2 linked regions of the Canis lupus familiaris genome follow. Each later gene encodes a partner of the first gene's protein in a complex. Links are inferred from orthologs where the notes say so. Each region holds a gene or a part of one and is shown on either strand. Other genes may lie near its edges.

Region 1 (7,888 bases):
AAGATAAATGACACAGCATGGGGGCAAACAGTAAAACCCAGACGGGAACATTCTAAAAAACAGCTGACCTAGTTTCTGCAGGAAGTCAATGGAATAAAAAAAAAAAAAAAAAGCCTGGGTGGGTTGGGTGGGGGGAAGATCTTCTAGAGTGAAAGAGAATAAAGAGATATGCAATTGTGGCAATACATAGACCTTGTTTAAATCCTGATTTGAACTGTAAGGAGAACTTTTTGGCCAACTGGAGAAATCTGACTAATGGAGTATGAGAAAATGACTAAGAAGCTATTGTTAATTTTGTTATGGATCAATAATTGCATTGTCATTACGTTAAAAAAAGTACATAATTTCTTAGAAAAGGATACTTTAAGTATATAGGGGGAAATAATATGATGTATGCAGTTTCCTTTAAAATAGTTCAGCAAGGGACACCTGAGTGGCTCAGCAGTTGAGCGTCTGCCTGCAGCTCAGGGTGTGATCGCAGGATCCAAGATCAAGTCTCACATCGGGCTCCCTTGGAGGAGCCTGTTTCTCTCTCTACCTGTATCTCTGCCTCTCTGTCTCTCATGAATAAATAAATCTTAAAAAAAAAAAAAAACAACAACTAAAAAATAAATTAGTTCAGCATAGAAAAACAATACATGAAGAAAATGTAGCAAAATCTAAACTACCTTGTTAATTCTGAGTGATTGATATATGGAGGTTCATTGATAATAAAGGTTCTCTCTGTATGTTTGAAAATTTTTAAAATACAATACAAATAAATCCACTTGGAATCAACAGACTTTTCCTTCATTCCTATCCCTTTACATACTACAGGGCTCCCTTATCCCCTCAATACTTGTGTTCCCACCCATACCTTATAAGACCGGGGCATGCTGGGTAGTACAGTGCCTCCACAGCAGCTGATGATCTCTCCCATCTGAGGTGGTGGTGGCTGGACTCCTGGAGTCACATGGATCTCATAGCCCTAAGAGAAAGAAAATGGTAGAGGCCACAGATGTATGCACTGAGAGGCTATGAATAGCTGGGGAACCTCAGGAGGGAGGGTTGGAGCATGGGGCACAAGACAGCCTCCTACCTCCAGCAACCTTTGCTCCCGAGCCCGGCTCAGGGCATCTCGAAGGCTGAAGCCAAAGTTCTTCTCCTGCTCAGGATCAGTCACCACATATTCATCCGGGGGCAAAAAGCAACCAGCCTTGTGGGACTAAGGACAGTAGCAGTCAGCATCAAAGCTCAGCCCAGCTCACCACCCAGCTCTTCTACCTAGCATTTGGAGGGAGCTTACAAAATGTTTTTTGAATTAAGCTTTCTGCTTCACTCACCTCCCTTGTCTTCCTGGGCCCCTCCTTCCCCTTTCTAGGGCACCCTAAGAGTAGTTTTCTGCCATGGTACCTCTTCTGTCATCTTCTAGCCTCTCACCTGGTGGAGCCAATCCAAGGAGAGGATGGGAATCCCCCGCCCCAGAGCACACAGGAACTTGACCGTACGGCGGACTCGATCAGTCACCAAGTGGGAAGCCTCTGCCACTGAGCTGGCCAGACTCCCCCCCAGGGCCAGCACTGCCCGCTCACCACGGGCATCCACCACTCCTGTGAAGAGAACCTGCGGAGGGAGTTAGCCTGAGCTGGACACAGCAACCCATGCCATCAGCGCCTGTTTCCAAACCCGTTGGTATCCTCCCATCCTCCCACATCTGCCTCCCACCAAGCCCCATGCCCCTTCTCTCCTACTTTGGGGACTGTGGACTCTTGGTTAGGTTTGGTTCGTCTAAGACTGCGGCTTGGGATTCTCTTGGGCTCCTCCTCTGCTTGGTCTCTCTTTCTCTTGCCTGGTCCTGGAACCACTACATCCTGGGATTGAGAAAGATCTTGCTAGGAGTTTCGGAGCCTCCAAGCCCTTTCCTAGCTTCAGTCAGGCCCTGTCCTCACCTCCTCCTCCCTTGGCCTCTCCATTGGATCTTCTTCCTCCTCCTTGAGGAACACTGTCTCCTGGGTGACTTCTCCTCTTTGGTGCCGTTTTTGAGGTGGGGGTGAATCCACAGTAGCCAAAGGCCTCTTGTGGCTCTGAGAGGCCTTAGGTGGGGGCCCCAGGGTGAACTCCGATCTGCCTGCTGCCTCCAACTTGTAGATCTGGGTAGCATGAGTGGGGGCTTCAGGAAGCTGGGCAAAGGCCGGCTTGGGAATGGTCCTGAGGGACTCAACTGTTCTCACTGCTCTTTGTCTTTGGTTCCTTGAGGACCGAGATTTAGGTTCAGGGAGTGCAGAGTAGGGCTCACAGATAATGGGAGCTATAAGGGACTCATGGTTCCTAGTGGCCCTCAGCCTCCTGCTGCAATTGGCTTGAGAGATGGGCTCAGGGGGAATAGGCTGGTCTGTGGGGACAGAAGGCTGGAATTCAGGAGTGGTAAGAACTGGCACAGCACTTATTGTAGAAGACCTTAGCATCTTACCCTGACTTCCCTGAACCTTGGGGGAGAACAGTTGATCTGTGGGGGTGACAGATTCAAGATCAGGGGCTGTGGGTTCAATTGGCTGGGGCATCTTGACAAAGGACCTATGTGTCCTGCCCCGAGTGGCCCGAGATGTGGGCTCAGGAGTGACAGGCTGATCTGTGGAGATGGAAGGCTGGGGTTCAGGCACTGTGGGGGCAACTGGTTCAGGGGTCTCGATAGAGAACCTTTGTGTCCTACCCCGAGTGGCCTGAAATGCAAGTTTGGGGATGACAGGCTGGTCTGTGGGGGTACAAGCCTGGAGCTCAGGGACTGTGGAGACAACTGATGTGTTAGTCTTGCTAGAAGACTTAGGTGTCCTGCCCTGAGATATACGTTTGGGGGTGACAGGCTGGCCTTTGTGGGTGGTAGGCTGGAGCTCAGTGGCTGTGGGGACAGTTGGCTTAGGAGTCTTGAGAGAAGACCTGTGTGTCCTGCTGTGAGTGGCTCCTGATGTGGGCTCAGTGATGACAGACTGGTCTTTGGAGGTAGACGGCTGAAGTTCAGGAGCTGTGGGGACAGTTGGTTCAGGGGTCTTGACAGAGGACCTACGTGTCCTGCCCCAAGTGACCTGAGATGTGGGCTCAGGGGTGACAGGCTGGTCTCTGGGGATAGTAGGCTGGAATTCAGGAGCTGTTGGGACAATTGGCTCAGGAGTCTTGACAGAAGACCTACGTGTCCTCCTGTGAGTGCCCCCAGATGTGTGCTCAGTGATGACAGACTGGTCTTCAGAGGTGGAAGGCTGGAGTGCAGGGGCTGTGGGGACAGTTGGTTCAGGGATCTTGACAGAGGACCTACGTGTCCTGCCCCAAGTGACCTGAGATGTGGGCTCAGGGGTGACAGGCTGGTCTTTGGAAGTAGAAGGCTGGAGCGCAGGGGTTGTGGAGATGTCTACTTTGGGAGTCTTGACAGAAGACCTAAGTGCCCTGCTCTGAGTGGCTGTGGAGACAACTGGTTCAGGAGCCTTGACAGATTTACGTGTCCTGCCTTGAGATATGGGCTCAGCAGTGACAGACTGGTCTTTGGAGGTGGAAGGCTGGACTTCAGGGACAAGGAGTTCAGGGGTCTTCAGAGAGGACCTACGTGTCCTGCCCCGAGTGACCCGAGATGTGGGCTCAGGACAGAGGGGCTGGTCTGTGGGGATGGTTGAGTGAGGTTCAAGGGCTAAAGAAGAAATTGCAGAGAGTGTCTTCCTGGAGGACCCTCGGAGCCTGACTTTGGATTTTGGGTACAGAGGCTCCATCTCTGAGGATAAAGGAGTCCCTGGAACTTCCTGATTCCCATTTTGCCTGGTCCTGGGAATGGGCTCTAAAGAAGATGGAGAGGAAGAAAGGAAGGGCTGAGACACAGGATGTTTTTGACTCTGAGAGAGGAGGGGGTTGTGGTGTGGGGTTGAAGCTTCAGGCACTGCAGCAGGCAGATGAGCATCTGCGGATTCCTGATCACCCTGAGGAGAAATAGAAGTAAGTGAGGGAGGAAGAGGCAGAGAGAAGAGAGACAGTACTTGGATACTATTCTTGATACTTGTTTATTGTTAGAGTGTGTTCCTGGCACTTCACTTGTCTGTGACCTCCCTTCATGAGACTTGGAACTTCCTAGGGAGGAAGCAGTCCTCATTCCCACAGACCTATCCTCATGCCAGTATAGTGTTCCCCAGAGATGGATGATGGTAATAAAAGGATGGCTGGAAAAAGATGGGAAAGACATGAAAAAAAAAAAAAAAGGACATTCTAAGTCAGGCAGAGGGAGACAGACCTTGGGAAACAGATACAGAAAATGATAGGTGTGAAGGGAAAGGTACAGAGCCAACTAAGGAGTGGTGACAATGGAAGACAATTGGGAAGATGGAGAAAGGAAGAGATTAAAGCAAGGTCAGGGGAAGGGGCAACAATGAAATAGAGGGAGGTAGAAAAAGCAGTTCTCACCACAGAGGCCTTCTCAGCAGGTGGCGCCTTGCAAGTCAGGTGGCCTAGACAGAAAGTGAAAAAAAGTGTATGTAGCTGGGGTCTAAGCACTCAGCCACTTAGGGGTTGTTTAGCACAAGTGCTGTGTACCACCTTAGGTTCCCCTCTGCCTTCACTTACCTCTCTCCTGCCTGCTGGGGCTCATCGGGGCTCCACCTGACTGGCTCCCAGAAGCTTCTGGGACTGAAGCAAGTCCCTGCTGGGCCCCCATCCCTGCACTAGGCTCTGGTGTTAGACTGGAGGCCTGCCCTTCCTGGTCTTGGCTCCCTTTCTCTATCTCCCCTCTCTGTGGGCCTCTCTCCAGTTTTACTTCTGGTACCTTCATGCCTAATCCACTTGGCTCACCCTCTCTCTCTACTACTGGTTTCTCTGCTTCTCTTTCAAATATTTCTCTTGCAATAGACTGCTTTTCTGTCTCTTTCTCTTGTGCCTCCCTGGGTATCTCAATTTCTATGTTTAAACTCTCCATGTTCCTTTCAGTACTTGCACTTTTCACCTTTTGGTCAGACTCTTGTCCCTGATTATCTCTAGCTAACACCCGTATCCCTCTAGTTAACTCTTCTCCTAACACATCTTCTCTCTCTCCTGCTGGCAGCTTCTTGGTTTCCCTGTCCAATGGGCCTCTCTCAGGGGCCACCTCCTCTGGTGCTTCTCTTGGTGTACCCATGTCTTTCTCCACAGTCTGCATCCCTCTGCCTTGAATCCCCAGTGGCTCTGCATGAACTGGGCTCTCTGGATGTTGGGCTTGTGGTGCTGTCCTAGGTGTAGAGGGGCAAGATCCATGGGCATCAATGTGGGCAGCAATGGGCTGGGGCTCAGAGGCCTCAGACTCTCTTGGACAGAATGGCTGTGTTGCCAAGACTTCCCACGGCTCATCCAGGGCACCTGGAAGTAGAGTCAGGGAGAGAGAGACAGAGAGAGACAGAGAGACAGAGAGATAGAGACAGAGAGACACACACACAGAGAGAGAGAGATGCAGATTGGGAAAGTAATAAATAGGATGAGAAAAGATTAAGATAAATTCATGAATAATAGGGATGCCTGGGTGGTTCAGTAGGTTAAGTGCCTGCCTTCGGCTCAGGTCATGATCTTGGGTCCTGGGATTGAGCCCCACGTGGGGCTCCCTGCTCAGCAGGGAGTCTGTTTCTCCCTCTCCCTCCACCCCTTCCCCAAATCGTGCAGGTGTGCTCTCTTTCTCTCCCTCAAATAAAGCAATAAAATTTTTAAAATAAAAAATTCATGAATAATAAACCTAATAATCATAATCATAAGCTGGTCATTAAAGGAAAGTTGGGAAGAGGACCAAAAAAATAAGATGCATACAGAAGTTCTCATAGCAGCCTCTTTAAAAATGATGGAGATGGAGAAACGTCAGTAAAAAGTCAAAGAATATGAAAGAAACATGTAAAGAGAAAAAGCAATGATGCCAAGTTAGGAGCATGAAGGATAGAGTTTCTTATACCTGAGGCCTGGAAGCTGTAATAGGAAGGGCCAGACTCTTGGGGTAGAGTAGCCAGGAAGGCCTGAGTGGCTTCATCCTCCATGCTCTGGACTGCTGCAGAAGAAAAGCTGGCTCACGCCTAGCTCTTCCACAGAACTCTGGGGACCCATTCTTGGCCTCCTGCCCCACCTACACCAGCTTTCACAACCTTCAAGGACCACCAGTCTGGGCTCCCAGCTCCCACTTGCACCAACATCCATACAACACAGATGCCCTCACCTTCTGGGCTCTGATTCTCTCTCTCCACAAAGCACTGGGTAGCCTGTAGGTCCAGGTCTTCAGAATCTGATGGGGGAGCAATATAAGATAGATAAGTCATATCTCATGCTTAACTCCTTACTCTTTCTCTACCATTTTCTCCCCAACCCCAAGCCCTCTACAATGGACTGAATGTTTGTATCCCACCCAAAATTCATATGTTGAAACCTAATCCCCAATGTGATTTTATTAGGAGGTAAGGTCTTTGGGAGATGATTAGGTCATGAGGGTAGAACCCACTGAATGGGATTGGTACCCTTATAAAAGAGACCCCACAATTAGCTTGTGCCCTTCTACCATATGAGGACACAGTGAGACAACAGCTGCCTATGAACAAGGAAGTAGGTCTTCATCAGAACACAATCATACCAGAACTTTGTTGTTTTTTTTTAAGATTTTATTTATTCATAGAGACACAGACTGAGAGAGAGAGAGAGGCAGAGACACAGGCAGAGGGAGAAGCAGGCTCCATGCAGGGAGCCCGACGTGGGACTCGATCCCAGGTCTCCAGCAGGATCACACCCCGGGCTGCAGGGGGCGCTAAACTGCTGTGCCACTGGGGCTGCCCCATACCAGAACTTTGATCTTAGACTTCTAAGCCTTCACAACTATGAGAAAGAATTTCTATTGTTTATAAACCACCCAGCCTATGGTATTCTGTTACAGTACCCCAAGTGGACTAAGATATTCTATAAGCGTTCTTTCTTTTCGGGGTCAAGGAAGAAGGCCAGCACTTACCACCATGGTTGTCTCCACAGTTCTTGGTCCTGTCCACATGTGGTTCTCTCTTCCTTTCTGTGGGGGTCTGGGCTCCCTCTTTCTGTGGTTGGATGGTTTCTCCTGAAGTGCCTGTGTCCACCACCAGATCTATAAGGTTCTCCTTTGAGACAGGGAGAAGATCTTGCTCCACCTGTGATACAAGTGAAACCCCCTGGGCCCTCGCCTCAAGAACTCTCTCCTGCTCAAGAACTGGTGCAGCCGATTCTGTCCCAGCATCCCCTTCTGCTAGAAGCTGGTGCTTTCCAGTATCTGCCACCAGTGAGGCTGCTAAGGATGTGTCCTCCTCCACATCTGTCCCACAGTCCTCAGATAGAGGAGGCTGGGGTTCCCCTAGGTGCATCACAGGCAGCTTTGCTTGGCCCCCTTCTACTTCCACATATGTTTGATCTGTCCATACCACAGGCACCTGATGCTTCTCCACAAGTATAATAGCTGGTCCTGGTAGGACTTTCTCTTCCACTTGTGTGATGTCTATGGTGGCAGAGGCTTGATTTCTCTCCAGGTGGACCTCAAGTAAGCTCTTATCTTCATCTACCTCTAGATCACTGTCTTGGAGAGGAAACTGCCTCTTTTCTGAGCATGCCTTGTCTGTATGACACTTGGGCACAGTTCTTCTGTTTTCCATTGGGAGACCCTCCTCCTCCACGTCTGTCTTACTATCTCTCCCAGCAGAGGTTTGGCTTGGCTCCAGAAGGGCCACAGGTTGGGCCCTGTCCTCTTCCACATCTGTACCTCTGTTCCATGTATCAGATCCGCTCTCTTTCAGACGTGCCAAAGTGAGTGCTGCTAAGACTTCTTCCTCATCATCTGTATTGCTGTCAATCACCATGGAAATTTGGTTTCTCTCCAGAGGGACTGCCAGTTGGATCTCACTTTCCTCCACATCTGTATCATTAC
Region 2 (7,888 bases), on another chromosome or scaffold:
ATAAGAAAGACATGCTTGATGATAGGACAAAAATGCTAAAAGGATTTTCTCCAAAAGTGTGTGGTAATGAGGAATTCTTAAGACTCAGCTATGCAAAGAATGTCTTTGAAGTGTCATCATCTTTGTAGAGGGTCAGTGTTTTTTTCTAAATATCTACTTCAGTTTTATATTACTTGATAACAAATATATGAATGAACTCAGTTTTAAATGTTTACTTTAAAACCCTGTGACACTCTCCTCTATTCCAGATTTCCTTTTTTCTTTCATTTTTAAATGTTTACTTTAAAACCCCGAGACAGGGCAGCCCAGGTGGTTCAGCGGTATAGTGGCGCCTTCAGCCCAGGGTGTGATCCTGGAGACCCAGGATCCAGTCCCACATCAGGCTCCCTGCATGGAGCCTGCTTCTCCCTCTGCCTGTGTCTCTGCTTCTCTGTGTGTGTGTGTGTCTCTCATGAATAAATAAGTAAAATCTTTAAAAAATAAAATAAAATAAAACCCCAAGACAATCAGTTCTGTCATCTATTTCTTTTTTTCTTCTCAACTTTCATCTTTCAAAATGAAAATTAGTTTATTTGCTAGTGGTACCTCTGAAGATGTTTTAATTTACTGACCCATATATCAAAACTCTTATCTGGGAACCTTGTCTCTCTAAAATAATGGCCAAGAAACAGGAAGAAAATAAAAAGGACATCCAGGTATATAAAATAAAGGCCACATAAGCCATGTACTAAAATTCCTTTTCTTTGCTCCCTGGAGAATCCTTTAAGATCTTACCAAGAACCTTTTGAAATACTATTCTTTGAAGTCTGTTTTTGTTTTTTTTTTTTTCCTCAACCCTAGCAGAATAATAGTGGCTGATTAGAGGAGGGGTATGCTGCTAGAACCAAATATGCCTAATAGCAAGAAATGGGAGTTGACAACTTGACAGAAAACACACAAAAATATCTATAAAGTATGCATAAGGCCTCAAAGCAAAGCTATATAAGCCCATAATGTAAGGATCAGCATTCTTGTACACCTTTATAGCACCTGAAACATCACTGCATTCAGTATAATATAAATGGTATTTATAGTTCAATGTCTTGGAGTCATCATAAAAGATTTACTTGTGTGTTCACTATATTCTGTTGAAGAAGGTAGAGTAATACATGTTAGGCATATTTCCCTCCAAAGGGGTTAAAATTAAAGTTTCCAGCCATCTAGAAATCTCAGCCATGCTAAACTCTGCATTCCCTGAGGGTTTTATATATTCTGGATGGTAAGTTCCCACTTACTTCTATGCTCTAAATGATTATCATGTCAGAACAAGTATGACAGATTAGGTTTCCAGGGTGTAGATGCTCTCAGAGTTAAGTATAAGTTTGAGCTCTAGAAATTTCAGAGGCTTACTGATTTCACCTTTTTGTATCTTTCTTGAATGGATTTTTCCATTGTGTTCCTTCCAGTAGGTTTATAGACATTTCTTTTTTCCTTTAGATTGGTCGGTCGACTGAAAGTCCCATTGATTTTGTAGTAACTGACACAGTTCCTGGAAGCCAAAGTAATTCTGATACACAGTCAGTGCAAAGCACTATATCAAGATTTGCCTGTAGAATCATATGTGAACGGAATCCCCCCTTTACAGCACGGATTTATGCTGCAGGATTTGACTCATCAAAAAACATCTTTCTTGGGGTAAAAAGCTTTTTTCCTAAATGATGCATTATATTATAACCACTTCTGTTTCCAAATTACAAAAAGAAATGGAAGCTCACTATTCTAATTGCTACTAGGAGAAGGCTGCCAAATGGAAGACGTCAGATGGGCAGATGGATGGTTTAACCACTAATGGCGTTCTTGTTATGCATCCACGTAATGGGTTCACAGAAGACTCCAAGCCTGGAATATGGAGAGAAATATCAGTGTGTGGAAATGTATTTAGCCTGCGGGAAACCAGATCAGCTCAGCAGAGAGGAAAAATGGTAAGTATTGAGATGGAGCTTCTTATTTAGCTACAGTAAACACATAGGGTGGGTTGGACTGAATGCGTTATCTATTTCCAAAAACTCTTAAAATCTCTTGCTGACATAGAGTACTTAAGGCTATCAAACACTGACCACTAAATATTAAACTAGAGGATAATATCTTAATGTTTGAATCAAGACACTTTAAAAATTTGTTCTTTCATATTATGTTAATACATTTTAAAACCTAAGCTTTCCTAAATTAAATAGCACTGTGTATTTTCTATTTATATCTCTTTGACCGTGTTGTATATTGGAAATATTAGACTTACTGAGTAGCTAGATGTTTTAGTCATAAACTATCTTCACTGTAAAGTTAAAAAGATATATGTTCCTATTCAGTATTTTATCTTTGATTTTCAAACTTACATTTTTCATGACTGCCATTCTTATATTTAGTAACAATCATAGGAAATCTCAATTCTTGAGTAAGGAGCATGTAAGACCAAAACTCTCATGTAAAAATTGAAAACAAAATGGTGAATGTGTTTTTCGATTCTTATTTCCTTTAGGTGGAAATTGAAACCAATCAGTTACAAGATGGCTCATTAATTGACCTCTGCGGTGCAACATTGCTGTGGCGTACTGCAGAAGGCCTTTCCCACACTCCTACAGTGAAGCATTTAGAAGCTTTAAGACAGGAAATCAATGCAGCACGACCTCAGTGCCCTGTAGGGTTCAACACACTAGCATTTCCTAGTATGAAGAGGAAAGATGTTGTCGATGAAAAACAGCCATGGGTATACCTAAACTGCGGCCATGTGCATGGCTATCATAACTGGGGAAACAAAGAAGAACGTGATGGAAAAGATCGTGAATGTCCCATGTGTAGGTCTATTGGTCCCTATGTCCCTCTGTGGCTTGGATGTGAAGCTGGATTTTATGTGGACGCCGGCCCTCCAACCCATGCATTCAGCCCATGTGGGCATGTGTGTTCAGAAAAGACAACTGCCTATTGGTCCCAGATCCCGCTTCCTCATGGTACTCATACTTTTCATGCAGCCTGCCCCTTTTGTGCACATCAGTTGGCTGGTGAACAAGGCTACATCAGACTTATTTTCCAAGGACCTCTAGACTAACAGACAGTTGTCCTCCAGGACTACATTATAAATTTATAAGCTAAGTGAGTTGGGTTTTCCAACCTGTTGTCCATGTCACAGTTTCTCTGCTCTGGTCATTTGCATTAAGATGAAGAATTTTTTTAAACATTTATAATAAATAGTAACAATTTCTGATCAGAAAATCTGGGAAACTCAAGAAAAAGAATTTCTGAAAGTACCAGACTTATGAATTCTGAGTTTTGAAAATATATTTTGAGGATAAAAAGACATAGTCTAATTTGTTGCCTTCCTTTTAGTGTTTTTGAATCACCCATCCTCAGTGTTGAAAAATTGTTTTATATAACTGAGGGTACTGTTGGTTCAAACTATGTTAGTTTACAGTTTGTTGCAAACATTGTAAAATACAGCAACATGTATATTAACTTTTTTCTATTTATCTTTATTATAGAAAATATCTTAGAATGTTCTTGATAGAGTAGCATGGTAACGATGGTGTCACACTCTTGGTGTGAACGGTAGTTTAGTGAGCATAGCTCAAGGATTTGCAAGCTTAGAAAGGACAAGAGAGCCTCTCTCCCCACCCTCTTCTAAATATGGAATTTGGTAAATTAGAATACTTTGTAAAACCAAATTCATATTAATTATTGTGTAAGAGCTGTTTGTTTTTAACCACATTGAATATAATCAGGAAAGTTTTTTCTTAATGTTTCTCTCAAGTGTAGTATATAACAAAACTTAATGCTAAAAACATTTTATATGCTCCTTTGAATATGCAATTTAATCTAGATTATCTATTTTTCTCCCATGATAACTTAATCTGTTTTTAGTATCAGCAACATTTGGCAAGTTTATTTTTTAGATATAAACTGTGGTTCATCTGTTCACTGTTTCTAGAAAAAAAAAATCATTCTCATGAGAGAAAGCATACATTAACAAGGAAGAGAGTGACTTGATTTGCTTTTATAAAAAGAAATAATTAATTGATTATTCTGCGTGTGGTCTTACCTAGGCATTAAGAAATCTAGAGAGATATAAAGGGTTCAATGACAATAGTGCCCCACCCCCCTTTTTTAAACTAGCAGACCCGCCTTAACTTTGTCGGCTTTGAATCCTAAAGAGAGTTGCCACCGTGTGACTCAAGAGAATGTTTGGTTGGCAGATGAGCACCAGTGACAGCCGAGTAGAACATACTTGCATGGTATGTTTGTTCTCTAATTCCAATAAGTTCTTCACTTAAAGAAGCAAGAAAACGTTTCTTCACTCCCTCCCTGCCCTTTTTTTTTTAATGCACCACAAGGGAAGTATAGACAGTTGCACTACATCAAACCCTTTGTGACACTTGTAGAAATCAGTACACTTTTAGACTAGAGAGAATCTTTTTTTTTTTAATCTTTTGATTTGTTTTCCTTTAGTTCAAAAGTTGTGTTATAATTGCCTCTAGCAAATTTTCGTATGTGGTAGTATAGCTTTAATTTATCGTAACTATTACTATGCTGTTCTGAATTTTCTTTTGGTTTAAAAAAAAAAATCTGTTGCTTAGAAGCCATGAACTATTTTACTTTAATTCAACTTGTCAAAATTTCCTTGTTTTTAAAATGATCATTTGGGTTCACTCAGGAAATGCATGTCAGGAAACCTGTATTATAAGTTTACTAGTTGTGATGTATCAGTAACTGCTGTTACCCCCTTTTCAAAGAAATATAATTGATTTTGAAGTTTTCTAGATAGTCACATGCTTTGTGACTAATGCAAGGAAATCAAGTCCTGTGTTGTACTTGTTCTAGTCATTTCTATTCAGGCTATATATTGTAGCTAATTTTTATTTGCAATTAATTTATTCAAACTAAGTAAATACTTTTCAAAATAGTTACTTGAATTTGTCTCTGTGAGTTCGTTTTTGCATAACTGAGAATGGGAAACCAGAAATGAAAACTTGGGGACAAATCTACCCCCCCACTTCACAAATACTCACTTGAAATAGATGAAGAATTTGTATTTAATGTAACACTTTAAATCTCTGGTTCTCTTGGGAAAGCATCTCTTACTTATTAATAAGGAACTTTGTTCAGTGGTTGAATAATTAAAGCTTTAGTTAAGTCCTACTAGAGATTTGTCTTTTTGCAAGTTGAATACTAGACTCTTTAAACAGTGCTTCGGTGACCATAAAAGGTTCATGTTCTTCCCAAAGTGCCTGAATTCCCTCCTCCCAACTGTGAAAAGTCTGGTTCATTTTCTGTCAAAATTTAAGTTTTGAAAACTCAGGTAATTTAAGTGATGAGGTGTTTTTTTATCCAAGCATTTTGAATATTGGTTCTGTCATTTTGCTAACACCTAATAGAACACTTAGTTACTCAGTGGTATTAAGGGGATATCAGTATTCTGGTCAAGGAGAAAAAGTTCTATTTAGGTCTCCCAAATATACTCAAAAGAAAGATAATATTTACGGCTTAACTCTTTTATCAAAGTGATCTTACTTATCTAAATGTTCCTTAATTTATATTAGGGAATTTTCCTTCATCTAACATGTTAGGGTCATGAAATGAGACAGGGTAAATATCCAGAAGGAGAAATCCTTTTCCAGGCTATCATCTTGAAGCTGTAATTGCTTACTTCCATCATTTTAAAAATATTCTGGTACATGTAAAATAGGATAGGAATATGTAATAATGTAAATAAATATATAATTACATCTAACATGAATACTCCTACTCTACTCTTCCGTCAGGATACTTCAAGAACCATGTGTGATGCATGATCTTCTGACACGTAGACTGAGTGAGTGAGGGCACCAGTGAAAATCCATCGTTTCTTAGAATTATATTTACCTTATAAATTTAAACACTTCGGCCCCTCATCCTAATGGATCATCTTGTGCCATCCCACTTTAGGGACACTGGCTAAAAGATCTATGATCCATTCTTTTGTGTTTATGATCCAAGCATTAACCCTGTAGCATGTAGCAAATGAGATCACCAAAATACTGCTTACTGAACTATATTATTCTGTCTCCCACTTCCACTTTCATAAATATGTATACTTTAAGACCATGCCCTCAAATTTTATCTATGCATTCTTTCAACAGATATTTCAATACCTGCTCTGCACCAAACCACTTTGGGTGATTTAACAGGAAAAAGAATCCCTGCCTTCTTGGGGCTTATGTTTTAGTGGGGAAGATAGAAACGAGTAAGAAAATAAAAGATACAGCATGATGGGTAGTGAACAGTGCTGAAGGGACAAATAAAGGAGATACAAAATGCCATGGGTGATGTGTGTGGAATGTTCGCGATATTAAAGGGGAGAGGGCCAGGGAAAGCTGCACTTAGGAGGAGAACATTTAGGCAAAGGGAATAGCAATTGCAAGAGTCTTAAAGTAAAAGTGTGCTTGGAATATTTCCATAATAGAATGGAAGCGTAGCTATGTAGTGTAAGAGGGAGGAGTAATAGGTATGGCCAAAGAGGTAAAGGGATGAAACTAGACCATGGACTGCCTCCTGAGGCTTGGCTTTTATCCTGAGTGAGATGGGGGTTCTAGGGAGGATTTTGAGTAGGAAAGTGACGTGATCCAACTTAGGTTTTAGTTAATGCAAACAGACTGAAGTGATAATGAGGAGACCAGTTAGTCCATAGCAGTAACTCTGGAAAGAAATGATGGTGGCAGGGATCCCTGGGTGGCGCAGTGGTTTAGCGCCTGCCTTTGGCCCAGGGCGCGATCCTGGAGACCCGGGATCGAATCCCACGTCAGGCTCCCGGTGCATGGAGCCTGCTTCTCCCTCTGCCTGTGTCTCTGCCTCTCTCTCTCTCTCTCTGTGACTATCATAAATAAATAAAAATTTAAAAAAAAAAAAAAAAAAAAAAGAAATGATGGTGGCATAGATCAAAGTGGTGGCAGTGGAGCAGGTTTGAAAAGTGGCCAGAATCTGGGTATATTTGAAGGCAAAGCTGACAATATTTGCTGGCAGATCAGATATAGGGTATGAAAGGAGAGGAATTAGGAATGACTTCGCCCAATTAGCCTGGACAACTGGAAAAATAGAATTGCTGTTTAGAATGGAGATTATGAGAAGAAAAGGGGGGAGGAGGGGCGTACTGCTTGTAGAATCAGGAAAACCTTGGACATCAGTTTGAGACTCCCCTATTAGACAAGGTATTTGCCAAAGGTGAACTGTCACTGCATTTTTTTAAATCTCCTTTCAAAGTTCTTAACCACCATGAACAAAGTTCTCCATACATGCTATGTTAGCTTAGAAACAAAAAGTGTTTCTCCTAATTAATGGCAAACTTCCTTTCATTAAATAGAGTTGGGACACCTCTCATATTTCTCTCTTTGCTTTGGCTGCCCTTTGAGGAAATGTGGTTCTGTTTTCAACTATAGTAACTTCCTTTAGCCAATAATTTCTGATACAGTTTTTCTTCCTCTTCATGTACATCTTTTTGTGTAGCTCTTCCTTTAAAAAAAAAAAGTATTTGAATCTTAATATTTTGCTGCTTCAAATTCTTTCTGGCAGTGACAAAGCACAAGTTGTGTTTTGTTTTTAAAAATCTTTTGAAAAAAATCTTTTTAATATTCTTGGGGATCCCTGGGTGGCTCAGCAGTTTAGCACCTGCCTTCGGCCCAGGGTGTGATCCTGGAGTCCCGGGATCAAGTGCCACATTGGGCTCCCTGCATGGAGCCTGCTTCTCCCTCTGTTTGTGTCTCTGCCTCTCTCTCCCCCACCCCTGTGTTTCTCATGAATAAATAAATAAAATGTTTAATAAAAAATCTTTTGAATATTCAGATGTTTACAGAAAACACAGAGTTCTTGAACCTATAAGCCCAGATTT

The links.
Region 2: the proteins of MDC1 (region 1) and PELI1 are in contact, whole or in part, in a crystal structure (PDB 9IF9), measured with the Homo sapiens proteins. The link is inferred for Canis lupus familiaris from reciprocal best matches to the Homo sapiens genes MDC1 and PELI1. Residues at the interface, in NP_055456.2 of Homo sapiens: Glu761, Asp762, Ser763, Glu764, Thr765, Gln766, Pro767, Phe768, Asp769; in NP_065702.2 of Homo sapiens: Arg104, Ser105, Thr106, Glu107, Thr115, Asp116, Val130, Gln131, Ser132, Thr133, Ile134, Ser135, Arg136, Phe137, Thr185, Asn186, Thr221, Arg222, Ser223, Ala224, Cys247.

What each region holds. Positions count from the first base shown.
Region 1 is NC_049233.1:636,040-643,927, forward strand, and holds part of MDC1 (mediator of DNA damage checkpoint protein 1), read right to left. Parts: coding exon 6,950-7,888; intron 6,239-6,949; coding exon 6,173-6,238; intron 6,008-6,172; coding exon 5,915-6,007; intron 5,338-5,914; coding exon 4,573-5,337; intron 4,458-4,572; coding exon 4,414-4,457; intron 3,936-4,413; coding exon 1,929-3,935; intron 1,851-1,928; coding exon 1,731-1,850; intron 1,603-1,730; coding exon 1,420-1,602; intron 1,205-1,419; coding exon 1,079-1,204; intron 968-1,078; coding exon 857-967; intron 1-856. UniProt on the Homo sapiens protein: Histone reader protein required for checkpoint-mediated cell cycle arrest in response to DNA damage within both the S phase and G2/M phases of the cell cycle.
Region 2 is NC_049231.1:65,016,884-65,024,771, reverse strand, and holds the end of PELI1 (E3 ubiquitin-protein ligase pellino homolog 1), read left to right. Parts: intron 1-1,476; coding exon 1,477-1,674; intron 1,675-1,772; coding exon 1,773-1,961; intron 1,962-2,515; coding exon 2,516-3,082; 3' UTR 3,083-4,940; downstream 4,941-7,888. UniProt on the Homo sapiens protein: E3 ubiquitin ligase catalyzing the covalent attachment of ubiquitin moieties onto substrate proteins. Involved in the TLR and IL-1 signaling pathways via interaction with the complex containing IRAK kinases and TRAF6.